Lonchura striata: one gene and its partners. The protein of the gene in region 1 interacts with the protein of each later gene in a pairwise test. Links are inferred from orthologs where the notes say so. Each region holds a gene or a part of one and is shown in the gene's direction. Other genes may lie near its edges. The genes, in order: MAP2K3, RASSF1, PDGFRA and FGFR4.

Region 1 (7,920 bases):
AATTTCTGCAGGGCAGCGAGGCAGTTTTACCCAGAGTAGTTCTCAGTATGACAAATGGATGGGAAAGAGATGCCGGGATCGTTGACTATCTGTAATTAACCATTAAGATGAAGGCTGGGAAAGAATCAGTGCACCACAGAGAAATTTTAGTGGCACCTACTTTTTTTTTTTCTTTGTTCACTCCACCCAATATGTGACGGACTTTTTGGGGGTCACTGTGTCACCAGAGCTCCACAGGTGGCTGTCACAGCTTGGATCCGTGTCGTTGGTCCTACAGAACCGCGGCACCCACCGTGCTGGGGTTTCCCTGAAGGAACATCCCCAGAGGGGCCCCGGTTCCCAGCACCCCCACATCCCCCGCAGGCACCTGCTCCCGGGGGGACCGGGGCAGTGCCCCCCAAGCTGCCCGTGTCCCCACCGGGCTGCACACACACCCCAAGCGAGGGAGCCCAGCGATGCCGCATCCCCTGCGAGAAGGTTTTGGGGTGCAGGAAGGGCTGGGGCGGGGGGTCACACCGCGGCAGGGCGGAGAGCACGGGGGAAATGCAGCGGGACTCAGCGGCACGGCAGGAGGGGGAACCGGGAGAAACGGGGGAAATCGGTGAGAACGGGAAAAAGGGGCAGGAAGAAGAAGAAAAAAGGGGAGAGCAACGGGGAGGAAGAACAGGGAGGGGAAAGGGGGGAGAGACAACGTGGGGTGGGGCGAAGGGGGGGAACAGCGAGAGCTGAAGAGGAACGGGGATCCGGAGCGGCCAGCGCGGCCGGACCGGGGCGGAGGGCGGAGGGCAGCGGTAACGTCCCGGGAGCCCCGAGCGCCGCCCCTTACCGTTGAGCCGCACGGTGAACTGCCGCCGCTTGCGATCGTGCTCCACCTGGATGGGGCAGCCCTGCTCCAGGAGGCCGAGCGGCGCGGAGTGCGCCATGGCGGTGCCGGTGCCGGTGCCGAGGCGCGGTCGGGCCCGGCGCGGCCGCGGCCGCAGGAAGCCCCAGCTGTGCGGCACGTGCCCGCCCCGCAGCCAATGGCCGCGCCGCGCTTTTGTTTTGGTACGGCCGCGCGGCCCTTAAAGGGGCAACGCCAACGCCGCCGTGGGGACCGCAGGCAGCCCAGGCGCCCCCGCGCGGGCGGCGCCGCCACCAGCGGCCGCCGGAACGGCGCGGGTTCGGTACTGGTCCCGTGCTAATTCCGCACTGGTTCTGTGCAGATTTGTCACTGGTACTGTGCTGGTTCGGCGCTGGTCCCGCACTAATTCCGCACTGGTTCCGTGCTGGTTCGGCACTGGTCCCGCACAGGTAACTGTACTGGTTCTGTACCGGTCCCACACTGGTCTCACACTAATTCTGCACTGGTTCTGTACTGGTCCCACACTAATTCCGCACTGGTTCTGTGCTGGTCCCATACTGGTTCTGTGCTGGGTCGGCACTGGTCCTGCACAGGTTCTGTACTAGCTCTGTACCGGTCCCGTTCTGGTCCTGCACTAATTCCACACTGGTTCTGTACCGGTCCCGCACTGATTCCACACTAATTCCACACTGGTTCTGTGCTGGTCCCATACTGGTCCCACACGAGTTCTGTACTGATTCTGTACCGGTCCCGTTCTGGTCCTGCACTAATTCCACACTGGTTCTGTGCTGGTCCCATACTGGTTCTGTGCTGGTTCGGCACTGGTCCTGCACAGGTTCTGTACTAGTTCTGTACTGGTCCCGTTCTGGTCCTGCACTAATTCCACACTGGTTCTGTACTGGTCCCACACGGTTTCTGTACCAGTTCTGTACCGGTCCCACACTGATTCCACACTAATTCCACACTGGTTCTGTGCTGGTCCCATACTGGTCCTGCACGAGTTCTGTACTGGTTCTGTACTGGTCCCGTTCTGGTCCTGCACTAATTGCACACTGGTTTTGTACTGGTCCCACGCTAATTCTGCACTGGTTCCGTGCTGGTCCCACATGGGTTCTGTACTGTTCTGTACCAGTCCCACACTAATTCTGCACTGGTTCTGTGCTGGTCCCGTACGGGTTCTGTACTGGTCCCACACTGACCCCACATCGGTTCTGTAGTGGCTCTGTACTGGTCCTGCACTGTTTTTTACCAGTCCTTTACTGGCCCCGCACTGGTTTTCTGCTCTGGTCTCCTGCTCTTTCCCCGCTCCCATCGAGCCTGGCCCCAAGGACTGGGTGTCTGCTGGGCAGAGGGGTAAATTCCCTTCCTTCTCCATGAATGTTGGTGAGGAGGTGTTGTCCTTCACCCCATCCCCTCCCTGGCAGCTGTGTGCTGCTGCAGGGAGGCACAAACAGCAGGGGAGCGCAGGGAATGCAAAGCCTGCAGCAGCCAGGCCCAGCACGGCTGGCGTGTGGCAGGGAGGAAGGGGAGGGATAACTGGCATGATCCCAGAGCTGTCAGGGAGGGCTGATGCCCTCCAGCACACAGGGATGCTCAGGACACAGCAGGGCTGAAGTTTTAGGAGAGAGGAGGAAGGAGAAGCAGGTTTTGCCCAGACATGGGTGAGCAACTCCTTACTGTCACCCTGTTCTTTGGAGAGTTTTAAAGTTCTTCTAAAAGTTCCTATGCCTTCTAATATTTACATATTTCTACTGAGTTTTCTCACACATGTTCATGTAAATAATAACTGTTTTACATTCTTCTTTGTGGGTGGAGAGAATTTATAGACTGTTAGCTTGACCAGTGCAGCTGGAGAGGTGGCAGTTTCACCCTCCAATCCACTACCATTTTTGCTAATGTATATATAGTAGAGTCAGAAAATAAAGTTTACTTTTTTGAGTTATTTTTTCTTTCCTTTTACATCCAACCTGCTTCTGTGAGTTATTTCATGTCACAGTGTAACACCTTACTGCCCTCGGTGATCGCCCTGACCCAGAGCCAAAGGTTCACCTACAGCCCCTGAAAGCATGGAGAGCCTTTCCATGGGTGCCAAAACTGCAGCAAAACTTGCCAAAATCTCTGTGAGCACTCGGGCTCCATGGGGATCCTGTGCCTGTGCTGATTCCCTGGGACAGCGGCTCAGACGAGGAGGGGCAGGCAGAAGCAGCCATGGGAAGCTGCAGAAGAGGTGGAGAGGTCCCCCAGGAGATCCCCAAGCCCTACCATGGCTGGGAGGTGACCTCGAGGGTGCTTCTGGTGCCTTCCTCACAGCTCGTGGGGGTCTGTGTGCTCCCTGCCTTCCCACCCTGTTGGATCTGGATGCTGAGTGCTCCCAATTTCCCTGTGTGCCCTGCAGAGCTCCTGTGCTGGAAGGCCTGGCAGCCTTGGTGACACTTGTGTGTCCCCTCTCACCCCTGGGATTGAGAGCCAGAGACTCAAATCCAGTCACTGCTTCATCCAGCCCTGGATGTAGCAGCCTCCAGGGATGCAGGAGGGGGATGGTGCACATTTGGGGACAGCAGGGCCATGTCCCCAAGCTCGCAGTGACACCCCAGGTGCTGCCAGCAGCAGGGCCAGCTGTCAGAGCCGGTCCCACAGCTCCCCATTTGTAAAAGAGCTGGTGATGCTCTGCTCTGCCACAGACCCCCCAAAACTCACACCCAAGCACTGCCTCAGCCCAGAGCTGTGTGGATCAGTTCAAACCCCGCTGCTGGCTCCAAGATCCGTGTGGATAAAGGTCAGAAAGGGCCCCTCAGCTGGCCCAGCCCTGCACTGACACCACAGCTCTTGCATCAGCGCTGCTGACCCGCGGCTGGGCTGCAGAGCAGTGGCTTTTTTGGAAAGACTCCTCCTCGTCTGTGTTGAAAGACTTGAAAGGTGGCGAATCTGCGACCTCTCTGGGGAAGGTAATTGCTCTCCCCGCTAAAAACCTGTAATTGATGTTGCATTTGAGCTCTTCCACCCTCAGTGTGCAGCTGGATCTGGTGCCTTTGGTGCTTGAGGCACCCGTGCAGCCACAGATCCCAACTCCTGCAGCTCCTTCCCTCTGGCAGCGAATCCCTTCTACTGCCTGGCTTTGAGGAGGTTTTTCCAGTCCTCAGATTTATCCCAAACTCTCTGCAAAGCTGAGAGCTGGCTGTGGCAGAGCAGCTGCGATCTCACCAGTGCTGCCAGCAGTTGCCACCCCTCCAACTCCTCCTTTGGTCTTTATGGATCACACGAAGAATTCCAGCCAGAAAATGGCACTTGGAATCTCATTTTTTTTGCTTTTTCAGCTGCATCTCTCACATCGTATCCAGCATTTCTGCCTGCAGCCCAGCTCGGGTGGCTGTGGGAGCATCCTTACCCCAGGATGTGCCACGTCTGGGAGGGGTTGATTCCTCAGTGACTCAGGGAGGAATTAACCATGGAATCAGAGCATCCTGAGCTGTAAGGGACACACAAGGATCATCCAGTCCAACTCCAGGCCCCCAAATCCCACCCTATGCCTGGGAACGTTGTCCAAACACTCCTGGAGCTGTGGCAGCCTTGGGGCTGTGCCCATCCCCTGGGGAGGCTGGGCAGTGCCTGGTCACCTTCTGGGGGGAATTTCCTTTCCCTGATATCCAGCCCAAACCCCCCTGACACAGCTCCGGCCGCTCCCTTGGCTCCCCGGCCATTTCCCAGCCGGACACGCCGCTGGCACCCACGGCACGCGGGACCCACGGGAGGCGTGAGTGACCACCCTCAGCTGACAGAGGAGGTGAGGGCCGAGGAGCAGCACAGGGGGGGATGCTCGGCGCCCCAACCCCGCGGCAGTGTCGCCGCTCTCGGGGCAGCGTCCCCGGGGCCACGACGGCGACACCGAGGCCACCTCTCCTGAGGGGCAGCAGCACCCGCCCGCCTCACTTCCCCCTCACAGCCGCGCCCGAGAACCGCAGAGCCGTTTCCGCGCGGGGCCCTGGCCACGCCCCCCGGCGCGGCGCTGGCCAATGGCGGCGCGGGGGCGGGCCCGGCGGGGCGGCCGCCGGCGGGGCCGCGGCGGGCGGGACCGGCGGGCGCCGCTGGGGCCGGGCCCGCCGGGCTCGCACAGCGCCATGTCCCTGCCCAGAGGTACGAGCGGGCTCGGGAGGGGCGGCGGGGCCGGGGCTGCTGCCCAGCCCGCCGGGCGTGGGCTCCCCGCGGCTTCCTCTGCGCTGGTCCCGGAGCCGCGATGCCGGGGGCTGCGAACCCTCGGTGGGGATGCGGGGTGGGGGAGACGGGGCGAGGCTGCGTTTGGCGTGGGGAGAGCGATAAGAACAGGCGAGCTGTGTTTGTTTGCCGCGAGTTTCGCCTGCCTGCCTTGAGCTCCCGCTGCTCGGGAACTCCGGGCTGGGAGCCGCGGGCCAGCGGAGCCCCCGCCGGGCTGGGCCGGGAGGGACGGAGCGGGCTGGGACTGCGGCCGTGGGCTGTGTCGCCTCGTGTCGCCTCGTGTCGCCTCGTGTCGCCTCGTGTCGCCTCGTGTCCCCTCGTGTCGCCTCGTGCCGGTGTCCGGGCACGGCCGGGACCCGGTGCCGGCGTGTGCCGGGAGTGCCGCGCTGCTGTCCCGCTGTCCGCAGCCGCGGAACGTGACCGTGTGTCACCGGGGTTATTCGCACAGCACGGTGACTCAGGTGCCCATCGCAAGGTGAGAGCACCGGCCGGCGGTACGTGCCGGGATGGATGGGGACAGGGAGGTGGCTCTGCCGGTGTCCCGGTGCTCCCCGGAGCCGGCTCCATCCGCGCACCGGACGGAGGAGGGAGCGCACGGAGTGCGGCCGCTGCCTCTCGAATCCGCGGAATAAAATTCGAGGGGTTTTCCCCGTGCGGGAGTGATGCTCTGGAAAGTCGAAGTCAGGAGCCATGTGAGCAGATGAACGCGCCTCCCGTGACTCTTTTTTTCTTTCCTCCACCTCCCCCCGGTTTGAAACGATCCGTGTCTTATCCGGAGGGAATGTGGACCTGAGTTTCCTGTTTGCTGTGTAAGCAGGGGGTGAATCAGCAGCGATTTTCGGAGCTGCTGACTCACAGGTAGGAGCACATGCCTCCAGCCATCCAGCCTTGGAAGGGATCATCCAGGCTTCTTAAAGGCTGGCACACCGGAGCGCAGACCTTTCCTCGGCTGCCTGTGCCGGAGCGGCGGATGTGTGGATGGAGGGACGAGGTGAGCCTGGCCCAGGGACCACTTGTGCCCCATGGGAGATGAAGCTCAAGCTGGGCCTGGAGGATTTTGGGGGAAGCAGCGTGGCTGACAGCAAGAGGTGATGCCTGGAGGAGCGCCTGGGAGCGCGGTGCTTTCCTCAGAGGAGGTTTGGAGCTGCTCTGTGCGTGGAGGTTTCTGTTGGTTGTGGCAGACTGGTTCATTCGTGCAGTTAACCCTGGTGTCCTGTGCTGGAGGTGTCACCCTGTGTGTGCTGAAAGCAGCTGGTGTCTGCTGGCAGCTCAGAGTCCCCGTCTGACCTGAGCTCCTTTGCTTCCATCAGGACAGCAGCAGCAGCACGAGGGTGGATCCCTGAGTGTGATCCTCCTCTCATCCTGCCTCTCCTTGGCTTGCACCTGCCTCCCAGCTGGTTTTTCCAGGGATGCTCACAGGTCTGAGTGTGTGTACCTGCTGCTCATGGCAGCTGCTTCTCTCTCTTTCAGGCAGCCTGAATTTAAGCTAAATTTCCCTGCTTTTCCTTAGGGAATTTCAGTGAACAATCTCAGGTTTCCTTTGCTGGTTCTCCTTTGGTTTGTGTTGCTCAGGGTTGTAAACAGAGGCTGCTGTGTTGAAGCTCTTGGTTGGCTCTTTTTGTGGCAGATGCCTTCCAAAACTCACCTGCCATCACTTTGGCTTAGTCATGGGGTTGTCTCCTGCCTCGGGAGATTTTTGGGATACGTGGCTGGCCGTGACACTGGTGACAGGAATGGTGCTGTGCCGGGGCTTTGCTCTGCACTAAACGTAGCTTGGGAGATAAACACCTCCTGGGGATTTTGTGGCTCTTAGGGAGGATTTTGGCTTTCTTTCTTCCTCTTCCCGTTGCTCCTGTCTGTTTGATCCAAGTTATCTCACAGGATCTTGTATGTGGGAGAAGTCTCCTGTGTTATCTTGCGCTGTTGAGGCTGATGTTTACTCATATATGCAAAAACTCCCTGTTTTCTCAGGTCACCCAAGTTCCCTCGAGCTGTGTCTCATGGCCTGGGTGGCACAGTAGGAAGGAATTGGGAGCAAAGCTCTGGAGCTGTCCCTGTGTCCTCCTTGCAGAACTTTGCAAGGGACACAGCCTCTGGCTGCAGCTGGCAACATGGGGCTGGGCCTGGCTGTGATTTTCCAGCAAGGTCTGCACCTTTTTGGTGAATGGACGCTGTGCAGAGAGGGTGTTGTAACCCAGAAGTTAAAGCAGGAGGGGATGAAGCCTCAGGGAATTTTCAGCCTTTGTGTGGGTGCAGAAACACAGTGGAGGATGCAAGGTCTGAGACTCTGGGGATACAAAACCCTTTTCCCTGGGCCTCAAAGTGTATTTTCTGCCTGCCCTGCACATGGAAATCCCTGTGCCCATCCCTGGGGCTGTTGGCTGTGACCTGAGTGGCCCCTGATGCCTGGAGGGACAGGCAGGAGTGTGCTGCTGGGGAAACAGTTGTTTCCCAAAATATTGGGAGTTTTCTGGGGAAAAGCAGCTGCAGGGAGGGGAAAGAGGGAGGGTGAGTGTATGGGTGGGATCTCGAGGGAGAAGACCTGCTTGTCCTGTCCTGGTTCACCCAGCACCGATGCCTGAGTAATTCAAAAACAAGTGTTTTTCCTTAGCAGGGAGATGTCCTTTGGGAATAGAAGTGCTTTTGGGGGGAGAGGGATCAGGATCTGTCTGGAGCCAGGCTGTGCCTCTGGGGAGGCAGCTCTCCTTCACCACAGAGGCTTGGAAAAGCCAGCAGTGAGGAATGCCAGGACTTGGGGATGAACTGGTGCTTGTTCTCGTGGCTTGTCTATTCTGGGTGGGTAAATAAGTGGTGGTGCCTCGTCCCTGCTGTGCCCTGGCCGTGCCCTCTGTGGGAGCACACCACTCTTA
Region 2 (6,863 bases), on another chromosome or scaffold:
CTATCAGTGTTTTCATGTTGAATTCTGGACTCCCCAGGGAAGTACCCTTTTACAGCCCTGGTCTGAGGCTGCTTGGCACACTGTGTACAGAGGGGCATCATGGTCTGGTGATAGAGCCTGGAGTTAAACTGGTCCCAGCTGGTGTCTGGGCCTTTGGGAGTTAGGCCATGAAAGTCTTTAAACAGCAAAGAGGTTCTTGGGGGCTTTAATCCATGCAGTGGTAATCTCTGGAGAAAAGTGTTTTTATGTGTTTCTACTGCCTTCTTGTGAGCTGAGGGGAGAAACTGAGTATGGGGGCAGATCTGCAAAGAGGCTGCTGAGAAAAGCTGGGAGCAGAGGGGCTCTTCCCCACTGCCAGAGGCTCCCACACTGCTTCCTGGAGGAGATGGGTCTGTTGGGCAGTGGCCGTCTGGGCTGTCCCCAGTGGCAGCACGCTGTCCCCAATGGGAGCACGCTGTCCCCATCGCAGCTGGCGGCATGGCCTGGGAGGAGGGTGATGTGCCCTGTCAGAGGTGCCTGTGGCTGAGCTGGAGACACGGCCCAGGCTGGGAGCTGGAGCTGGGGAAGCTGCATAATGGCAAGCTGAGCTGTTGGGGCTGGGGCTGGCATCAGAGCAAGGTGGACATGGATTCACACCCCATGCTTGACTGCCAGCGTGTTGGTGGCACAGTGACAAGCAGCTGCATGCTGGGGACCTCCTGTAGCCCTCAGTCAGGCTGCTGCCCTTCTCCATAGCTCTGCTTTTGTGCCTGCCCCTGCCAAGGGCTAGGGCTGAGCCTGGGGGCAGGCACAGGGAGGCAGCGGGAAGCACAGATATGGGCTCCCTGCTCTGCCCAGAGAGTGCTGAACTCACTCCTTGTTGCTGAGCCAAGCTAAGGAACGGACTTTTTCCATTTGGCTGCTTCCAGAGCAGCCTCCTCCCCTTCCTTGGCTATTTTTACTCTGCTGGAGAAGGCAGCGCTGTTTGAAGCTGCACGGTCCCCTCCAGAGCCGAACTCAGCACGCTGCTCTTGGCTGGGATGTTTCCTTCTGGCCGGCCAGCCCTTCCCCGGGTGTTCATCTTCAGGGAAATGACGAGCGGAAAAATCTGCTCAGACAAACGGCTCTGGAGCATGGGGTTCACTCTGCTGCCACACGCAGGGTGCTGAGGTCTCAGGGCTTTCTTCTCAGCAGCACAGGCCTCAAGGCTGAACACTTACTCCCAGCTGGACCCCAAAGAGGTCCTTGTTTCATCTCAATGCCCACTGGAGGGTGGATCCATCCCCTCCATGTACCCAAAAGCATACCCTGACCACCTCTGCCTGCCCTCCTGGAGGACCATGCGTCTTGTGCATAGGGCTGGCTGCCTTCTCCCCAGATTACAGCATCCTTTTCAGGCTGTTAGCACCTCTTCTTCTTGCACTGCATCTCCCACCAGGTTCCTGTCATCTGGGACCATATCCTCAAGAAAAACTCAGGGAAGTGGGAGGCCATTGCCAAGCACCAGGTGAAGCACGCTTTCAGCCCCACTGAGGAGGAGCTGAAGCTGCAGGCAGGCAGGTGAGGCTGGAGCAGGTTTGCAGAGTGCCCAGTGGAACCAGTATCCCCATGAGCAGAGCTGGAGCTCGTCACTGGGAGGACAGAGGGGTCCTGTGGCACTGGCTGGAGATGTCCCCTCAGTGGCAGGGTGCAACAGGGATAGCTCACTGTCGGCCATTCCCTGTAAGCAGCCTCATCCCTCTCTGCCTGCACAGGTGGGCACAGACCTACAGCCTGGACATGATGGAGGCTCTGGCCCCTGACAAGCCCCGTTGCAGGGTGTGTGGTGTAGAAGCAACCAAGCGCTGCTCTCGCTGCCGGAACGAGTGGTACTGCACACGGTAAGGGAGCCCTGCCACCCCCTTGGGACCCCTGCAGCCCCCCTGGGCCTCCCTGCAGCTCCTCAGTACTCCCCAGAGCACCACAGGGTCTCACTGGAGAATTCTGTGGGAGGGCCAAGCAAAGCCAGGGGTCCCACCACTGCTCAGCACCACCAGCTCTCTGCTGGCCATGTACCTCTGTGAATTTTGTGGGGAGGCTGATGTGCTGGGCTGCTGGTGGAGGAGGTGTTGGTGAAGGTTATGTTGCTGAGGTGCTGAGCTGCCTCTGCCCACAGCAACAGCAGTGACAGGCTGGGTTTTCCATGGTGACACTGTCTTCCTCCTCCCACCTTGGTGGGGCACAAGTAGGAAAGCACCCATGACCCCATGGGTGCAGGTGACAAGCTGGGATGTGGCAGCTGGGACGGTGGCAGTAAATTAAATCTCTGGTCCTGGACCATCTGGCAAGGTCTGTCGTTAAACCTTCTTAACCCCCAGCACTGGGGCTGCATCCACCCCCTCTTAGTCTAATGCTGGGCTGTATCAGCTCTCTCCCAGCTCACAGAGGGTGCGGTCATGGAGTTTGTCCTTCTTGCTGCTTTGCCAACAGAGATGGATATGACTCCAGTGCCCCTGACAGCAGCTTCCCCCTCTGCAGGGCATGCCAGGTGCAGCACTGGCAGAAGCACAAGCCTGCCTGCAACCTGATGGCTGAGGTGCCAAGGAGTGTGGATGGTCTGTAAGAAAAGTGGTGTCTGGCAACTGGCCCATGGCTCACAGAGTCGGAGGTTCCCCTGGTGTGTAGCCCAGAGCGGGAAAGAAGCTGGCAAGGGCCCCTTCTGCCTGCTCCCAGCTGCAGGCAGCACAAGCCTGGGCTATCCTCTCCTCTCCCACCACCTCACCATTCTGCCTTCTCCAATAAACCTCCTTGTGCATCCCACAGTTGCTTGGCTTCTGTGTTTTCTCTCCTAGCTGAACGTAACAAACTGCTTCGTCCCCTCCTTTCCACAAAGTGGGAGGCGTGTGTCCATTTTCTCTGCAACAACAGAAATCCCTGAGAACCCGAAAAAAATTGTGAGGGTATGGTTACCTTACTGCATCTGGGAGGGAAGGGAGTGAGAAGGCTTCTGTGCCGTCTCACCATTGTTAGAGCAGCGTGGGGAGCAGAGGATGTGGTTTGCACGAGCATCTTGCTGTGAGAAAGAGTTTCTTGGGTATTTGTCATCTCCCACCTTGCAGGGACAATTCACCCCATTTCCTCGCTCTTGATGTGATGTTAGCACCAAGGGCTTGGTCCTCTGCCCACCAGCATTACCAGTAAACAGGTTCTACTGGTGGGGATACCCTGGGGTGCATCTCACTGGTCAGCAGCTGCTGCCAAAGGGCTGGAGCCTTGGTCTGAGCACAGCTGGGAAAGGTTGGCCATGTCCTTTTTCTGATGGGGCACTGGAGAATCCGACACATAAAAATAAGCTTTGCACCAAGGCTGCTGCTGCAGGAGCCACGGCAGCAGGCAGGAAACCATCTCGTCCAGCTGCAGCCGCGGCTGAGCAGCCCGCGCCCGGAGCTCAATAAACTCCTCACCCCAAACCCGTGCTGCACGTCCAGGGCTGCAGCCACCGGGAGCAGGAGCGCTCTCCGTAGCTCTCGGTCTGCTTCTCACCCGCCGCCAGGGGTGCTTCCAGCCCCTTCCTCACTGGGAAACTGAGGCAGGGAGCACAGTTTGTCCTCCTCCTGCGAGAAGAGGCAGAGAGAGCGGAGCGGCTGCAGCGGGCCCCCCTTCCTCCGCGGCGGCTCCGGGAACCTCATCCCCGCCTCCAGCCCGCCCCGCCGGGCTCGCCGGGACTGGAGTTGGCGATCGGGAGCCCGGGGCATTGAGCCCCATCTTTCCTGCCTCAGTTTCCCCGCAGTGCCCGATCGAGGCGGCCCCTCCCGATCCCCGCCCCGGCCCCGGCCCCGGCCCGGTGCCGGCCCCCGCCCCGCCGCCGAGCTGCGCCCGCGGCCGCCGGGCCATGGAGCTCATCGAGCTGCGGGAGCTGCAGCCGGAGCCGCGGCCGGGCCGGGGCCGCCTGGAACGGGCCAACGCGCTGCGCATCAGCCCGGCCCGCCGGCCCGGCCCCGGGGCGCACCCTGACCCGCGGCTGACGGCGGCACCGGGCGCCGGGCACCGCTTCGAGCCGCGGCGCCGCGGGCTGCACACCTGGTGCGATCTCTGCGGGGACTTCGTCTGGGGCGGCGGCAGGAAGAGCCTCCAGTGCCGCCGTGAGTACCGCGCCGCGCCCCGGGCCCCCGCACCCCCGCCGCCGGGCACGCCCGCACCCCCGCCAGGCTCCGGGCGTCCCGCCGCTCGGCTTCCTCAGCACCGGGCACCCCCAGCGAGCACCGGGCATCCCCACCACCGGGCACACTCACCACTGGGCGTTCCCACCGGGCATCCCACCAACCGGCCACCTCTACAGGACACCGAGCATCCTGGTAGTAGGCAGCCCCGCTGAGCACCGGCTGTCCCACTGGTGGGCATGAGTTTCCCAGCACCGGACATGCTGCCACCGGACACTCCCACCACCAGCGGGTGGGGCATCGGGCACCCCCACGGGCCCCCACCCTCTGGTAGTGGGCCCCCTCACTGTGCACCGGCTGCCCCACCACTGGGCACAGGCATCCCGCACCAGGCACCAAACATCCCAGCACAGGGCACCTCAATAATAATTACCCCCACCAGGCATCCTGGTGCCAGGCATTTCCATTAAGTTGGGCATCACCATTCTGGGCAGCTGCAGCAGGCACTGGGCTTCTGGGCACCAGGAGTTGCCACCAAACACTGGACACCCCTGGATCGGGCACCCACACCAGGCACTGGCAGCCCCATACAGAATACCCTCACACGGCACCATGCATCCCTGTACTGGGTACCTGCACCAGGTACCAGGTATTCCAGCATGGGGTACCCACACTGGCCACTGGGAATCCCAGCACTAGACACCCACACTGGGCAGCCCAGTACCAGGCACTGAGCACACCATGCTGGCCAGCACAGCAGGGAACACAGCAGCCCTGGCCAAGACATGGCACAGTGCTATCTCCCTGAGCCCCTGGGCACAGCATGAGCAGACAGCTGATGCTGTCACCGTGTGCCAGCCCTTGTCCCAGCCAGTGCCCTGACCCCCAGGCTGTGCACAGTGGTGACCCTGCTTCTGTCTCTGTCCCCAGACTGCAGCTTCACCTGCCACTACCGGTGCCGGGCCCTGGTGCAGCTGGACTGCGGTGGCCCCCCAGGTGCTGGTGATGAGGACGATGGCAATGAGCAGGTGCTGGAGAAGGACACCAACGTGGTAAGGCCTGTGCCTGTCTGTGAGGGAGAGCTTGCGCAGGGAGTGGCAAACTGGGGGCTACGCTGGGCTCGGGGGGGCTGAGCTGGGCTGTGCCATGTGAGGCCATGGCATGGCATGCCAGGCTGTGCCATGCCAGGCTGTGCCAAGCCTTGCTGAGCTGGGCTTGGCTGGGCTTAGCTGAGCTGAGTGCAGCTAGCATGCCAGGCTGTGCCATGCCAGGCTGCACCATGCCAGGCTATGCTGTGCCACGTTGGGCTGTGCCAAGCCTTGATGGACTGCACTGCGCTGGTCTGGGCTGAGTAAGGTCGTGCCATGCCATGTTGTGCCATGTCGGGCTATGCTGTGCCAAGCCAGGCTGTGCTGTGTCCTGCCCGTGCCGCGCCGCCCGCACCACACCGTGCCCGAGCCGAGCCGAGCGCAGCCGGGACTCAGCCGTGTCCGGGCGGGCGCGGGTGAAGTCACCGCCGGAAGCGGGGCCGCCGCGCCGCCCCCGGCCCGCGTCACCCCGCGGCCGGGGCGGGGCGGGGGGGACCGCGCTGAGCCGGGAGCGGGCAGGGCGCGGTAGACGCCGCGCCGAACCGAGCCGGGACAGGAGCGCGATAGGGACCGGTCTGAGCCGAGCCGAGGACGGGACCGCGATAGACGCCGGGCGGAGCCGAGCGGGACGGTGATAGGGACCGGGCGAAGCTGAGCCGGGACTGAGAGTGCGACCGGGCGGAGCCGAGACGCCATAGGGACCGAGCGGAGCCGAGCCGGGCCAAGGGCCGGGCTGAGCGGAGCCGGGCCAAGGACCGGGAGCGGGCTGAGCCGAGCCGGGAGCGGAGCGAGCCGGGCCCCGGCCCGGGGGCCGGTCGGGCTGGCGCGAGGCCGGGCGTGCCCGTGTGCTCGCCGCCCCGGCGGGGCCGCGGGGCGGCCGGGCCGGGCCGTGCCCACCGCCACCGCCGCCGTGCCCGTGGCCGGGCCGGGGGCCGGCGGGCCCGGGGGCTGCGGGGCGGCGGCGTTGGCTCTGCGGCGGGGCGGCGCGGGGGGCACGGGGGGCAGCACGGCCAGCAGCGGCTACTGCAGCCAGGAGGACTCCGACTCCGAGCCCGAGCTCTTCTACACCGCCCGCACCTCCCTCGGCCGCCGCCCGCGCCGCCGCCAGGTCGGTCCCGGGCCGTGACGTAATGGGGGACACGGGTGACGTCATCGGGAGCACATTCCCCCGGCTGGGTGCTGGGGAGCAGGCGAGGGTGGGCTTGGTGCGTGGGGAAACTAGAGGTGTCGGTGGTCTTTTCTTAGAGGTGAGCTTGGCCCTGCTGTGGGGCAGGAGTGGGGTCGAGCATGGCCGTGCCGGGGGACACGGTGGCCCTGTCCGGTTGGATGTGGGGCGAGTGGAGTTTCGCTGCCTGGCATGGGCATGCCAAGGTCCCCTCAGGGCTGGAGCTGCTGGAGTTTTGGGGGTGCCGGGACAAACTCCCCGAGCAGCTTCACAGCTGTCCCCATCCTGCAGGGTCCTGCAGTGCCTGCATGCTGTGGGGCGGCTGTCGGGACTGGGGACCCCTCAGTGCCGTGGGGACATGTGCAGCGCTGTGTGGCAGCTCCGCGGCCCCGCGTCAATACTCATTAGCGGGTGCCGGTGGCAGCGACGCCGAGCCAGGACGCTCGGTCCCCCGTGTGCGGGGCCAGCACTTTGAAGTGGGGTGCCGGCGGC
Region 3 (7,204 bases), on another chromosome or scaffold:
GGAATGTTTCCCTTGAAGTTAGTTACACCAGGTTTACACAAAGCAGGATCTGGCCCAGTTTCTACATTATACTCATTCTCAAAAGATAATTAGATTAAAAAGCAAAATATCTGGCTAAAAAAAGCCATCAGTATAAGGATGATAATGTAACTAAATGCTGCTGTATCCTCTGCTCTTGAGCCACATCAGAGCTTTCCTGTCAAAGTCTGAACTGTAGCTTCACATGCATGGCCACAGGAACCTTTACCTGCATTTTCCTCTCATTTCACACTCTCACTTCTCTCTCCAAGACCACCTTGCTCAAGAGGAGTGCATATAACTGAGTTCTCTAAAGGATTGTCAACAACAAACAGGCAAATTATTATGTAACTGAGGCAGAAAATGCTCTCTGCAAATTACATGAGGTACAGACTAAAACAAGTTGATCTTGGAGAAAAAGGCCAAATAGTCTTTTGGAGAAGACAAAAAAAAGAGAGGAACTGTTTCCCTTGACATTTCAATATTTCAGTCTCTCCTGTGTCTGAACTAAAGAAAGAAAAATGAGAACATGGGCATTGGCTACTTCTTTGAATGGCTTGAGGTGTGATTGGTGCCTGCTTGATTCCTTCCATCACTGATTAGGGCCACAGAACCTTGAGTACAGGGGACAAACAGTGCTGCAAGAAGAATGAACTTGTGATTCATGTCTCCTGCTGACATACCTCCAGCATAATCTTGGTAAATTTGAGTAAAATGACTGAACAAATTCAGTGACTAAGAGGAATGCCTACATTTACTTCCAGGTCTGGAACCTTTTGCTGACTCAACAACATGGATGCTGTCTCTTGCAACTCTTAGTGGTGGCTCCACACAAACCCCAATTCAGCAAGCTCTTAGGAAGCATTAATGCCTTTCCATCATCTCAGTCCTTGGGATGGGGAAGATCCATGTTCAGAAACACTCCATGCCACAGAAATAGAGGGACAAGGTTTTGTTTGCAGGGGTATTTTGGAGCATGAAAGATCGGGTGAAGAGAGGGATCCTTTTAGAAACCTAATTACAATTCATTAATCTTGGCTGTAGCTCCAGTATTTCCACAGCAAATCACCCCAAAGGTGTGTATTTATCACTAAGTATCAGAAGAAAACCTGTTGTTGGATGAAGCAGAAAAATGACATCCCTTGCCTGGAACAAGGGGGTTCCGGGTACTCAGTAACAGATGTGTTTCTCTCCTCAGTCTGACACTTTATGATGCTCAGCCTGTCTTGGCTCTTCAGTGCCCACAGTAGGAATGTATGGTGGACGGGAGCAGCCCAGGCATACGCGGGGACCGACACAGACGCGGACGCTGGCACATGCCCACTGTGTCGCAGTGACCACGGCCGCGACATCCAGGGTGGCCTCCATACCATGCGGCTCCCCCGTGCAGAACTCAGGGCTGGGTTCCCAAGCACAGTAGCCCGAGGGGAGCAAAGCTGGTACTAATAGTAAATAGCTGCAGAACGAAAGCAGCTTGCTCTGGCTGTGGTTTTGTCCTGCTGTAATCCATTAATTGCTGCAGCTCGAAAGAACAAAGGCAGAGATAATGGTCTCGGGAGTTACGAACCGAAGTCAAACCTGGGCTGAATCAGCAGACGACCCTTTGATTTCAGAGGGAAAACTTATCATTTGTGGCACGGGAGGAATTTATCTCTCTGCTTTGCTTGCCACATCCCCCGAGCGGCTGAGGCGGGTCCGGGCCGGCCCTACAGGGCTGGAGCCATCAGGCTCCCGGGACGGCGCCTCTCGCCATGTTCTCCGAGCCGCCCGGTCGGTGATGAAGCGCAGAGGCAGCGGCGGCTGGCGGGGCGCGGTGCCGCGCCGGGCTCGGCCGCCGCTCCCGCGGGCTCCGGTGCCCTCTAGTGTCGCGGGGGCGCTGGCACTGCCCCGCGCCCTCGGCCGGCGCTGCAGGCACCCCGGCCGCGCTGCCTCCCCTCCCGTCGGGGCGGCGGCTCGGCCGGGGCCGCGCTCCCCGCCCGGGGGTCGGGGCGGGGCGCGGAGCCAGGCGCGGCGAAGGGCCAGGCGGGTACCAGCCCCTTTCCCCCCTGCTTGGCCTCGCCCCCGAACTGCGTCCAGCCTGCTTCTGGACCACAGCGGGCTGTTTATTCTGTCGCAGTCAAAAAAGTCAGGGCGGGAGCAAAAGGGAAAACAGTCTGTTTTTTAAAGAATAAGGCGTCCACGGCTCTTTTGGCGTCTTTTAATGTCGAGAGCCAAACGCAACAATGAAAGCAAAACAGCTCGACGTCGTGGCAGCAGCGGCCTCGGTGGGGAAACGGCGGGCATGGGGAAGGAAAACGATAGTACGGAGAACTACCTCGAACAGCCATGTGGCAAATAAAAATAAAGGCTAGGGAGGGCAGGCTGGGCAAAGTTAATTTCTTTTTGTCTGGCTGCCTGTCCTCCCAGTGACACGGGATCCCTGCTATTCAGAGCCAAATTTTGTTGAACAAACAAAATGAGGGAATCTGTACTCGTGGAAAGATGGAAATAAATAAAAATCTAAAAATCTGGCAGGACTGTAAATGTACACAAGACCCTCCCACCGCCAGAACACTTTTCCCGAAGGGGCTCGGGCCCCTGGAGTTTCCGAGCTTAGCTCGCCTTCCTAGGCGAGGCAGCCTTCACCGCTGTACTCTCTTTCCTAGGCGATAGATGTGAACACAGATGTGAGGCTGCTCTGCTTTCTCCCTCTCTCAGGGGTTGAGGGGTCTCTGCTTCAGGTTGTAGCTGCTCTTCACGCAGGGGCTTCCTGCTCTAAAAGGGAAAAAAAGGATGACTACTGCTCCGTGCACCGCTGAACGTGGGTAACGATAATTAAACCCAGACAAGCCTTCCCATCCAGTCAAAAGGCTGCGGCCCCTCAGCGGGTGTTCCAGCGGAGCCCGGGCCGGGGCACCCTCGCTCGCCTGCCCGGTCCCGCTGGTGGCCACACCAGCCACCTATTAGATTGTTCAATAGGCTTAACCAGTTAACCGCTGCCGGCTCACCCTTGGGAGAGAGCCGCAGGAAACGCTTTATTACTTGAAACAAATTGTGATTTCTCCAGGGAGGGGGATGCTGAGCGAGGGAGAGGGGAAAGGGGCCTCGAAGGCTCCCAGCCCCCCTGGAAGCGTCTGAGAGTGGAGAGACCCGCCCCGCAATAACCCGAGCCGTCGGTGCTCCCGCTGCCCGGACTCTGACGGCGCCGCGGGCCCGGGGAGGGGGACACACACACCCGCCCACCCCGGGGGGCAGGTTGGCAGCATAAACAGGCGAGAGCGGCTCTAGCACGGGCGCCGCACTTCGTCTGAGACGTGCAGCTTCCATCTGGTACCACATAAACACACGTTAACGGGATGCTTTATGCTCCAGCCCTTCAGGGGAGGGGAAGGCGGGAGGACAGGGGAGATGTAAAAAATCCCCCACCCCCAGCCTGTCCTCTCGCTAACCCCATGTCCCCCTCGCCTCCGTGGACGGGACCCCCCTGCACCACACGGGGCGGGAGGCAGAGCTCAGCAGCCGTCCTGGAGGGTTTATTTTAACTACCACCTCCCCAGCGCGGGACCAATCCATAGGCACCGCCGGATCCCTCTCCCTGAGGGAGGAGCGGGCAGAGCCCAGCTCCCGCCGGCTCGGTGCTCCTGGGGTGGCGGGCGTGGGGAAGGGAAAGCTACGTCGGGGAAAGCTTTCCCCGGAAGGGTGCCTGAGCGACGGTACACCTCCGCCACTGTTTCCGCAGAGCCGTCGGGCCCCCGCCCGAAGGGCCAGACTGGCCTAGCAGGCAGCCTTGCCAGTCGCCTAGTTTAAAATTTTTATTTTTGGCTGGGTCTTGTGAGATCCCACGTGGAAGCCGTTAACGACCTCTCGATAATGATCGTGACAAAGGCATTATTCAAATGAGGCAGGTAATTGCAACCAGAAGGCGCCTCCTCCCCTTCCATTTTGCTCCTTTCTTTTCGAAAGAGTAATTCTCGCATTACATCCCATCCTGATGGTATTTCGCCAGGAATCACCCCGCGTGTTGAACCAGATACACTCACGCCGGTAACATCGCGGCCCGAGCCCTGCAGGATCGCCCCGGCGCATAGGCAGTTGATGCTCATCTTTGAGGGGTTTAAATTTGCGAGAGCCCGCAGCTCTGATCCAAGTAATGATAAAGCATTTCCCCCTACAAATTAAGGGGTTCAGGATGCTGGGTGCTCTCGCACTCTCAGATGGAGAATTCCAGGGTACGGTGTGGGTTTTTTTTCTCCTGTGTTGTTTGTTTGTTTGGTTTGGCCTTTTTTTTTTTTTTTTTTTTTTCCTTTCCTCCATGCCTTTTTGACTCACTGCGAGCCTGTTGTTTATTCACAAGCTTTACGGTATCCTGTTAGCATTCCGACCAGGGTCTGCTCATAGATCTGACTCCGATGATTTCCTGGAGGAACATGTGGAAGCAATAGCGGGGTTGTGCACTCACCCGAGCCGAGGATGCACTAGTGGAGGGCGTGCAAAGGGCCGGGAGCGCCGCCGGGAACCTTGAGAGCCCAGACAGGGGTACCTCAGCCCTGAGCGCGCATCCTTGGGAGTTGGTTCTCGTTTCTGCCTCTATTCTCTTTAGGGCATCTTCGTTTCAGAGGCTGAACTCTCCCTCGCTTAGGAAAGAAAAAAACCACGGGGTCCTGGCTCTTGACTTCGAGACGAAATTTTTGTTTAATACTAAATGGGAGAAAGAGGTGTGGGTGGTGGTTGTGCTGGACTGGGGAAGGAAGGAAAGGGGAGAAGCCGCGGCACACAGCTGTGGGGCTGGTGCCCTCCCCAGAAGGCAGGCGGCGAGCAGGGACCGGCTCCATCCTCGCCGTTCCGTTCCTGGGGCTGCACTGCCCCCTCTCCCGCGGCCGCCGCATCGCCGCGCCCCGCTGGCCCCGCTCGCCTCGCTCCGCACGAAGCCTGCAGCAAAAGGGCGGCGAGGGCAGCTCCCCGGCAGCTCCCTCGGCCACCCCTTATCGCCAGTGATAGCGACGGCCAGCAGAGCAGAGATACCCAGTGCTGGTTCCCCGGCGGGGATCAAAGCTCCGTCTGGAGCGTGTTCAAACAGGACGGGCTCGGACGTGCGCTGCCCGCGCCTCTGCCGGCACCTCCGGCTCTTGTCGTGTCCCTGGTTTGGTTATTACTGGGGTCTGTTTGAGCTGGGCAAAGCGAAGGCAGAGACGAAGAGAAGAGTGTTCTCGGTCCCGTCGGAGCTGCGGGCTTTGGGGAGGCTGGCTCTTGGCGAAGGTTACCTTTCGTTGTGTCTTTCATTCATAAATGTTAGCGATTCGTCTCTCCCCCTGTCTCTCTGCGCCTTCTGGTCCTGGCTGGCTCACGGCCGTCCGTGCAGCTTTCTAGCCCAAACCCGAGCGCAGCGGTGTACAAAGGACACGAGGAAGCCGCGAATTCGTTTCCAAATCAAACTCCCCATCCATAAACTCACACGGTAAGCGTGGACATCGAGCGCGGCGCCCGAGCCACCGTCCTGGAGGGTCTGAGGAGGGAAGACTCATTCATGAAATTTGGGAGCACTCTTGAGTTTTCATGAAAGTTTTTTGGGTAATTTTTTTTCTTCTTCTTTTTTTTTTTTTTTTTTTTTTTTTTTTCATTTTCTCCCCCTGCAGTGCAAAACTCCCCGCTTCCCCCTTTCCTCCCCCTCGCCCCTGCCATATGGCCAACCTCCCCCTCCCCTGCAAGGCTGCTGAAATCTGGAGGCAGGGACGGCCCCCCTGCCTGCGTAAGAGCCTCCCTCCGGCGCGCCCGCCTCCGGCCGCGGGGCTGGGGGCGCCGGGCGAGCCAGCACGCTCTTATTCTGAAGGGGCCTGAGGGGGGCTTCATTTCCTGACAGCTATTTACTTAAAGCAAATGATTAGTTTTGGAAGGATGGTCTATAACATTGAATCAATTACGGGACGCGGTTTGTGAGACCATTACAGTCGGATCGGGAGGGAGGGCGAGCGGGAGGGAAAGAGCGCGGCTGAGCAGGGAAAGTCACAAAAGACGTGGACATATTTTGGATGTTTTACAATCTGCAGGATTGGGGCTGCGGATTGTAAAGGAGAAGGTAAGAGGTGCGGGGCATTTTCCCCACCTTTTTCGTTTTTTACACCTTTTCTCCCGCGGTTTTCTCCTCGTTTATTTTTTCCCGTTTTTCTTTATTTATTTATTGGGGGTTTTCTTCGTGTTTTTTTTTTAATTTTTTTTTTTTTTTTTTATTTTCCCCCGATGCTCCGAGCCGAGCGGAGGTCTTCTTTCCGCGGGGCGCAGGCGGTGGGCGCTGGCGACCCCGCGGAGGGGAGTGGGGTGCAGCGCTGCGCCGCGCCGGCCGTCGGGGTGCGGCGGCGAGCAGCGCGGGCAGCGCTAATGACAAACACATTGGGACGGCGGCAGCCACCGCGCCGCATTCCTGCCACGGGGGCGGGAGCGACCCGCCGGGGCTCCGCGGGCAGCGGCGGTGCCCGCCCCAGGGGGGAAAGCGGGGACGCGCACCGACCAAGTAAGCGGTTCCCTCTCTTCTCGCATCCCTCGCTTCCTTCACCCCGCTGCTCTCCCGTCCCTTCCCCCACCCTTTGTTTTTCATCACCTTCCCTCCTTTAGATCCCCTTTCTCACCTCGCTCCCCCTGGCCCGGTAGCCTAAAATGCCCGAGATCCCGAGCGGAGGCACGCATACAACCCCCGAAAGGCGACCCGATCTCCATCCCTGCGCGCCCCGTCTTTTTTTTAAAAAGTGTCTCGGTGAAAGGGAGGATGCTGAATTTAGACAGGGCTGGTACCTGGAGCCTTTCCAGCCTGCAGCTTCTCTCTCAACGGGAGTGCCAGCCCTGCCGTATGCCCTGCCGGACTGCTGGACCCCACTGCCTCCTACCCCGGGAAGGGCAAAGTCTTCGCGGCCACCTTCTGGATTTTGTCAAGCGCAGAGCTGCAAACTTGCCAGCCTCTGCCAAGCTGGAGTCCCCTGGAAAAGTCCTAGGAGCAAGTAGGAAATGGCTTTTTGGCTGTCCACGGCATTGCTCAACATTTTTGGACGCGGATCCCATAGCTCAGGAACCGTTCCAGAGAACAGGACTTGGACGGCTTTTTCTGCAGCAGCAGCGACAAATCTAGCAAGGCAGCAGCAGTCCCAGGGCACGGCCGCCAGCCCCCGGGGCTCGTCCGCACCCCGTCGGGAAGGCGGCTGCGGACCAGAGGCGGGAGCGA
Region 4 (7,639 bases), on another chromosome or scaffold:
TAAAGGTGTCTGTTTACACACAGGCACAGAGAGCAGGGATTCACTTGGAAGATTTTCTGGCAAATCTTCCCTTGGCTGCAGTGGGTTGTTGCTCTGCTGACAGCCTTGCCTGCTGAGCAGTGATTGCAGTTGGCACATTTCAGAGCATTTGTGACATTGTCTCCTTTTTTTCCTTTTTGTTGCTCCCTTCAACGTGCAGGATGCCAGGAGCAGTGCCGGTTGTCGGACCGTTCCCGCCACAACAGTATGTCCGGGAAGAGTCAACTGGCCCAGGAGGCTATAGTTACTTCAGCCAAGACCTCTAGAGCAAGTTGCAGCACTATTCTCGGAGTTGTTGGTGGCCCCAGAGCGCACATCCTTTGCCAGCCCACAATGGTTTCATTATCCCTCTGGATAAGCAAAGCCCTACCCTCCTGTATACACCCGTTGAGCAGAACGGGGACTGAATCTGTCAGGAAAAGGATCCAGCTGGAAGAGACTTGCTAGACAGCAAATACTTCACTCCCTTAGAGTAGTTTTCATTGTGTAATTGCTTCCTGTGAAGGTGGGTGTGGTGTGAGAGGAAGTGTCTATCTGGTGTAAGGAGGGCTTGGCAGCAAGCTGGTAGTGGCACCTTCTCCCTGTCCCCTCTGGTGGGCTGCCCATTCTGCTGCTGGACTGTTGTCAGAGGGCACCAGCACCCATGGGCACACCCAGGATGACAGGAGGGGACCTGGAGCCTGGCTGTGGGACCAGAGCCACCCACATGGCCGGGAAGCTGAGGATGGAGCATGGTGCCTGTCCCTAGGTGTGCCCTGGTGTTGGTGTGCTGTTGGCCCAGCTCTGCGCCTCCCTGCCCCGGGCCACAGCTCTGGCTGTGTCGCCAGTCTGAACTCCATCGCCTTCTGGGCTGGCAGGCGCAGGACAGAGCGTAGAACCACCCAGCAGCCACATCCTCCACAGAAGCACCACAGTCCCCTGCCCAGGCCGCAGCCAGCTCTGTGGAGCCTGTTGCTCCTCCAGCAGCACACCCAGTATCCCTGCCTCAGCCAGGAGAAGCTCAGTCCTGGCCACAGTCCCAGCCACTGCCATCCCTCGTGGCCCCGCAGGCTCCATTGAGTAAATCAAGTGCAGATGTGGAGTCAGGACCGGGTGCCTGCTTACAATTAGGGGCTGGGAAAATTGGGTGGCCCCATTCTTGCTTTGCAGTTCCTTGCCATGGCTGCTGCTTTACCAGGCTGAACCCCCAAATGTTGTGCAGGGGACAGGGCTGGTGAGTAAAGCTCCTGCTTTCTTGGCCACAGATCAGCACTGTGTTGCCCAACCCAGCACATGGTGTGTGCCATGTTCCCATGGGGAGCAGGAGATGTTCTGGCCCCATGCACCTCGTTCCCCGTGCCAGCTGCAGCTGCAGCACTCCCCCACACAGCCAGGGGAGGAAGAGGTGGCAGGGCTGCAGCAGGACAAGGCATGACACTGCCCACCCTCCTGCCATATTGCCCTCAACTTGTGTGTTCCCCACTCAGCCTTCACTGCCCAAGTCTGTGGATGCTCCTGTGCCATGCTGGGGGCTAGAAGAAGCCTGGGTCCCTGATATCCCTGTCCTGCAGCCCCTGCACTGGGCCCCACATTCTTGGCTCCCCAGAGGGAGCAGCAGGCTTATGTTTGCCAAGTTCTGCCTGGTTAAACCTTAACCAAGCTGGGTTGCTCCATCAGTCCCTCCCAGCCAGAGATAAGGATGGGCAGGAAAGACCACGGCCTGATGGGGCATACTGCCCCAAACCTGGCTGCTTGCCTCCAGGGCAGGACCCAGCCCCTGCAGAGCATCCTGCCCAGTCTGGGGCAGCTGCCTGCCTATCCAGCTTGCTCCCTCCCTTCCTCAGCGGGCCCCCACTGATATGAGGGCAGCAGGTTGTGGCTGGGGCTGGAAGCTACCATGTTGAAGCCAGTGGACTGGATGGAGCTGGAAACCCTTGCTCCAGGGCTGACCCACTCCCTCAGTGCCAGAAGGTTCACATCACCCCAGCACATTGAATGAGCATGCTCAGCCTCAGATCCTGTGCACGTACAGTGAGCTGGGGCTTCTGTGCCCCAAACAAGAGCCGTTCAGGAGAGGCCAAGAGAAACTTCCAGGAGGAAAGAGCCCCCCAGGCTCCGGCCCCCACAGGAGCCACCGTGCTGCGCGGGCTCTGGCTGGCCGCAGGTGCCACCACAGCGGGAGTGGCGGCAAGTGCTGGGGCCAGGCACAAGGGGCGGCTGTGTTCCCGCAGCTCCGGCTGCCTTCCAAGAGCAATATTGTTGGCACCAGGCAGGCTCCCTGCACCGGCAGCACATACATGGGCCTTTCATGAGGAGAGTGGGGATGATTTACTGCCTGGGGGAAGGGGCAGGGGCGGGAGGATGGAGCCCCAGCATGCCGGCGCCCGGCCCCTTGTGCGTGCTCGCTGCTGCGGGGCCCCGCACATATTAGCAAGGCCAAGGATCTGGCAAGGGGGTCGTCTCTCCCAACGGGACATGGGGTAAGAGGGATCCCTCTGCAACATCTGTGAAGTTCTGAGAACACACTTCATCTCTGGGCACCGCGCTGTGAGCTGTCACTTGTGCCACAGTGATGGGGGCAGCCCATGAGCTGGGGGAGATGGCCATCAGAGGAGGGTGCTGGGGCAGGGGTGCACCCACAGCGCAGAGTGCTGTGCTGGCACAATCCCCCCTTGTTGAGCTGCTGGCGTGGCAGAAGCCGTTGTGGTGCTGCCGGCAGCGGGTGGCAGGCGGTGGGGCTGGGCTGCTGTGAAGGGCTTTTTGTTTGCCGTCAGTTGCTGTTATAAATCAAGCCAGGCAGCCCAGCCCCAGCCCAGCACTGCCCCATGGCAGGGAGGTGACCAGTTCCCAGCTGCCTACAGCAGAGCCCCACCAAGCCCTGGCCTGTGCCTGGCATTGTCCTGGCCCAGTGGGGATGTTCAGTGTGACACTGGGCAACATGCCCACACTGGTCTGCTTGCCCTTCTTCCACTCAGCATTGGGGAACCCTGGGATACAGGGAATCTTTCCATGTTCATCCCAGGCTGTGTCTCCCACAGGCTCCCCAGAGTCCCAGCTCTCCCTGGTGTTCCAAATACTGGGAACATCCCCTTCTCTCTGGTTTTAATTTGGTTTTGGTTCGAATTGAGCTGAACCCAACATTTTTCTGTGCTTCCGGCACACTGTGAACTCTGCAGGGGCGGCCGCTGCTCCGTGAAATTGATGTTCTCGTCCGCTTCACGCGTCAGCAGGAATGAACAGCTGCTGGGGGCTGCTGGCCCCCAGGACTGCTCTGTGCACCTCTGCACCCCAAGGGGACACACACCAGTACTCCAGATGGGGAGCAGCACAGGGTGGATGGTGCTATGGGAGATTGTAGCACCAACCAGACCTCACAGTGAAACCATGTCATGCTGGATGGTTTGGTGCAGTGGAGCAGCATGGACAAGGCTGTGCCCAGGACTCAGGTTTGATCCTACAAAAAGAGGGGTGACAGTGACAGTGTACCCCACTCACAGGGCCACAAGGTCCACGCCAGGCATGGGCAAGGCTGTTGTGTGGGGCTCAGCATAACCCTGGAAGATCTTGCTGGAAAGCAGATGGCGAAACAGATGCAATGCAGGAAAGGAGAGCAACTCTAGGGCCAGACCCTGGCCATGTACTGGGGGACACTGACCCCTCTTGATGGCAGCAGGATGCTCAGGGGACATTGTTCCTTGGGATCACGCCAACTCGAAGTGCCTAAGGCCAGGCATCCCCCAGTGTCCAGTGGTCTTGTATGGGCCAGCCAGCAACAGGGCTTGGGCATGGTGGGGTCTGCCTGCCCCAGCACAGGCAACAGCATAGGGAAGGTGAGGGCGAAGTGTTTATGGGTTGGATTAGGCCACTCCAACGCTGGCTCGCACCTTAGCCACGTTTTATGATGCTCCGTTATGGGCTCCTAATGAGGGTCACAGCCACTTTATGGCACTGACAGCGATAACGCTACAACTAATTATGGCACAATTAGCCAATTAGCGTGTGGGCTGCTGGGCACCCAGCAACGCTCAGCGCCCAGCTTGGGCCATGACAGCTGCTTGGGGCTGAAGTGCTCCCACCCCCAGCAATCGGGGGGAAACAGGGGTGGCCTTGCCCCCTGTCCCATCTGCTGCTCCCCACGCGTGGGGTCTGCCTGGAGGACAGCAGAGGGGAGCAGCCCCGGGTGTTTTGCAGCCCCCTGTGCTCCCCACCCGCGAGGGGAGGCTGTGCCGGCGGAGCCGGGACAGAGTGGGCCGGGGGCCGCCTCTCGCCGCTGCGGGGGAAAGGCCGGTGCTACCCCCCACCTTCCCCCGTCCAGCTCGGCGGCAGGTCGGTCGGTTTGCAGAGATGCCGGAGATGCGGGGCCGGTCCCCGTCCCCCCACCCCTCCCGCCTCCCCAGCGCTCCGGGCGGGGCCGCTGTAACCCGAGCGCGTCCCTACAAAGTGCCCGCGCCCCCGAGGCGGCGGCAGAGCGGGGCCGGAGCCAGCCGGGAGCGAGCCCCAGCCCTGCCCGCCGCCGGAGCCGTCCCGAGCCCGGAGCCAGAGCCGTCCCGGCCCTGCCGCCATGGGGCCACGGTCTGGGGCTCGGCGGCGCTGAGCCCGCTGTCCCCGGACTTTGCCCCGGCCCGCGCAGCGCAGGCGGCTCCGCCGCGGGAGCCCGTCACCGCCGGTAACCGCGCCGACCGCGACCCTCGCCCCCGGCACCATTCGGGCCCCCCCTCCCGGGACACTCCCCCCTGCCTGGGATTCTCCGTGGTCCCCCGCCCCCGGTTAACCTCCCCTAGAGCCCTGACCAGGCTGAAGCTGGCCGGAGAGGTCGAATTCCCGGCGCTCAAACGGGGTGTTTCCCACTCTCCGTGCCCCCTCCCATTCCTGCCCAGGGACCCCCGTGCTCTGCCTCCCGTCCATGCCCACCCACCCTCGCGGTGACCTGGGGACCTCGCACTGCTTCTCCCCGGTGCCTCGGGAGAGGAGGGGTCTGCCCGCCCGGATCCGCTCACCCGACCCTGCCTGTCCCGCAGGGTGGGACCCCCGCGCTGGGGGGGCCTGGAAGATGCGGCCCCTCTTGCAGGTCGTGGCGGGGCTGCTGCTGGCGGTAGCTGCACGGGGCAGGGCGATGGAGCCAGGTACGGCTGCGGGGGGCGACGCGGACCCGGGGGCGGTGGGAGTGGGTTCCTGCTTTCTGAATACTTTCTCCATCCCGGCTGGGCGGCGACCCCTGGGCTGGGATGCGAGTGCTTGCCCTGGGCATGCAGCCCCACCGCTCTGCCTGCAGGGCAGGGCTGGTGGGAACTGGGGACAGGGCACAGGGACCGGTGTTCCCATCACTGACAGGGGCAGGGTGGCTCCAGCCAGGCTGTCCCTGTGCTGCGGGGGCTTGGCTCGCTCGCTGGACACGCGTGGCAGAGAGGGGTTGTGAGACCGCTGTGGGCTGTGGCTGCTGTGTGTGACACCTGGTGAAATGCGGGCAGTGCGTGCCTCGAGGTGGTGGGTGCGGGAGAAGGATGCGTCCCCCGGGACCAGAGAGCAGCTGCCCCACATCCCTCCTGTGCTGGCCATGCACTGGGCTGGAGGCACATTCGTGCACTCCAGGCTCCTGCACATGGGCAGTCGTGCTGCCGTGGTATTGCTGTGCTGGCGACCAGGTTGTTTCTGCCCTCCACGGGCACATGCTGCTGCTGGCCATCGGCAAGCTGGGCTCCACTGCCAGCCGGGCACTGCCAGGGACAACCAGGCTTTAGGGGTCCCAGCCATGCTTGGGGCATGTAGAGGTCCGACGATGGGTGTCTGGAGGGGTTTGTTGCCCTCCTTCAGTAAGGCAGAGCAAGCTGGAGCACCCTGCACCGCTGGGAGTGGTGGAAGGATAGTGGCATGTATGGCCTTGGCCAGGGACATGCCATTGGGGAAATCATGTCCCCGTGCTTCAGGTCAGAGTCCAGCCCTTACCTGCTTCTAGGGTGGCAGAGCCAGGCTCTGGGCTGTGTCACACCACATGCTCTCCACACTAGGATGGGCATATGGAGGGGTCCTGCTATCAGGGAGGGGTGAGCACTGGGGTGGGTGCTCACCACATCTCTCCAGAGCTATTTGAGAGCCCCTTGCTGGAGTCAGAAGATGAACATCTCCTCCTGGACCCAGGCAACACATTGAAGCTGTACTGTGATGCCAACCAGAGTGGTGCCAGTGTGGTCTGGTACAAGGAGTCCCGGCCACTCGTCTCAGGAGGTCGCATCCACCTCCGTCAGAGCCTGCTGGAGATCTCAGAGGTCACCTACGAGGACTCAGGGCTCTATGTGTGCCGGGCACGGGGAACTGGAGAGGTCCTGCGCAACTTCACCATCTCTGTCGTGGGTAGGAGCCCCGGCAGCACCCAGCTACCCTTGGGGCAGCAAAGCAGCCACTGCCTGCCCAGCCCTGCAGGCAGGGATGTCCTTCTCAACCGTTTCCCTTTGCAGACTCCCTGGCATCAGGTGATGATGATGAAGATAGTGATGGGGACAGTCCCCACGGAGACCGAAATGAGGAGTCGGTCTATGTGCACAGAGGTCAGTGCCACACCAGGGCACTACAGGAGAGGGCAGGTGGGGCAGAACCAGGGGCATGGGGCACTGCTGCCTCCTGCTACCTGTACAGGCCCCCTCCCATTGTACATCCTGCACGTCCCCAGCTCCTTACTGGACTCACCCACACCGGATGGACAAGAAGCTGTATGCAGTCCCTGCGGGGAACACGGTGAAGTTCCGCTGCCCGGCCTCAGGCAGCCCCAGCCCCAGCATTCGCTGGTTCAAGAATGGTCGAGAGTTCCGAGGGGAGCACCGCATCGGGGGCATCCGGGTATGGGACAGCTCCTCCCACCACAGCTTCCCTCCCAGGATCCCTCTTCCCCAGCTCACCTCACTGCCTTACCTCCCTCTCTGCAGCTCCGGCACCAGCACTGGAGCCTGGTGATGGAGAGTGTGGTGCCCTCTGACCGTGGCAACTACACTTGCCTGGTGGAAAACAGGTTTGGCAGCATCCGCTACAGCTACCTCCTGGATGTGTTGGGTGAGGGTTCCTCAGCATGTGCTGATCTGGGCTTCCCCATACCTGGTGGGGTCAGAGAAAGGGGTGGAGGAGCCTCTGTGACCTACCCACTGATGCAGCTCACATGTCCCTCACAATCCAGGGACATGGGATGGAGACCAGGCTTGGGTTGCGCTGGTCTGTTTTAGGGTTGGGGAAGGGCCCAATGTGGCTCCATGGTGGGTGGAGAAGGAGGGAGAAAGGAGCCTGTACTCTGGGCCACCATGTTAGTGACACTGCTCTGCTCCCTGTGTGCAGAGAGGTCCCCGCACAGGCCCATTTTGCAGGCTGGGCTGCCTGCCAACACCACAGCCCTGGTGGGCAGCGATGTGGAGTTCTTCTGCAAGGTCTACAGTGATGCCCAGCCCCACATCCAGTGGCTGAAGCACATTGAAGTGAATGGCAGCAACTACGGCCCCGACGGGGTCCCCTATGTGCAAGTGCTCAAGGTAACAAGGGCTGGAAGCACTCAGGTCCCAGATACCTGTGCTAAGGTGGTGACAGGGGTGCACAGAGCTCCCTGAGGAAGAGGGATACTGACCGTCCATCCCTCTCTGACAGA

What was found.
Region 2: the proteins of MAP2K3 (region 1) and RASSF1 come close enough for resonance energy transfer, tested with the Homo sapiens proteins (2 studies listed by BioGRID). The link is inferred for Lonchura striata from reciprocal best matches to the Homo sapiens genes MAP2K3 and RASSF1.
Region 3: the proteins of MAP2K3 (region 1) and PDGFRA come close enough for resonance energy transfer, tested with the Homo sapiens proteins (2 studies listed by BioGRID). The link is inferred for Lonchura striata from reciprocal best matches to the Homo sapiens genes MAP2K3 and PDGFRA.
Region 4: the proteins of MAP2K3 (region 1) and FGFR4 come close enough for resonance energy transfer, tested with the Homo sapiens proteins (2 studies listed by BioGRID). The link is inferred for Lonchura striata from reciprocal best matches to the Homo sapiens genes MAP2K3 and FGFR4.

Annotation. Positions count from the first base shown.
Region 1 is NC_134618.1:15,094,154-15,102,073, reverse strand, and holds the start of MAP2K3 (dual specificity mitogen-activated protein kinase kinase 3), read left to right. Parts: upstream 1-4,916; 5' UTR 4,917-4,956; coding exon 4,957-4,972; intron 4,973-7,920. Other genes in the region: protein NATD1, read right to left, coding at 827-923. UniProt on the Homo sapiens protein: Dual specificity kinase. Is activated by cytokines and environmental stress in vivo. Catalyzes the concomitant phosphorylation of a threonine and a tyrosine residue in the MAP kinase p38.
Region 2 is NC_134614.1:8,485,304-8,492,166, forward strand, and holds the start of RASSF1 (ras association domain-containing protein 1), read left to right. Parts: upstream 1-3,850; coding exon 3,851-4,100; intron 4,101-5,048; coding exon 5,049-5,170; intron 5,171-6,863. Other genes in the region: ZMYND10 (zinc finger MYND domain-containing protein 10), read left to right, coding at 1,418-1,539, 1,734-1,859, 2,497-2,581. UniProt on the Homo sapiens protein: Potential tumor suppressor. Required for death receptor-dependent apoptosis. Mediates activation of STK3/MST2 and STK4/MST1 during Fas-induced apoptosis by preventing their dephosphorylation.
Region 3 is NC_134606.1:26,993,042-27,000,245, forward strand, and holds the start of PDGFRA (platelet-derived growth factor receptor alpha), read left to right. Parts: upstream 1-4,196; 5' UTR 4,197-4,211; coding exon 4,212-4,226; intron 4,227-5,848; exon of another isoform or gene 5,849-6,070; intron 6,071-7,204. UniProt on the Homo sapiens protein: Tyrosine-protein kinase that acts as a cell-surface receptor for PDGFA, PDGFB and PDGFC and plays an essential role in the regulation of embryonic development, cell proliferation, survival and chemotaxis.
Region 4 is NC_134617.1:3,321,020-3,328,658, reverse strand, and holds the start of FGFR4 (fibroblast growth factor receptor 4), read left to right. Parts: upstream 1-4,629; 5' UTR 4,630-4,684; intron 4,685-5,036; 5' UTR 5,037-5,068; coding exon 5,069-5,141; intron 5,142-6,096; coding exon 6,097-6,366; intron 6,367-6,470; coding exon 6,471-6,560; intron 6,561-6,682; coding exon 6,683-6,849; intron 6,850-6,935; coding exon 6,936-7,059; intron 7,060-7,335; coding exon 7,336-7,526; intron 7,527-7,638; coding exon 7,639-7,639. Other genes in the region: ZNF346 (zinc finger protein 346), read left to right, coding at 200-305. UniProt on the Homo sapiens protein: Tyrosine-protein kinase that acts as a cell-surface receptor for fibroblast growth factors and plays a role in the regulation of cell proliferation, differentiation and migration, and in regulation of lipid metabolism, bile acid biosynthesis, glucose uptake, vitamin D metabolism and phosphate homeostasis.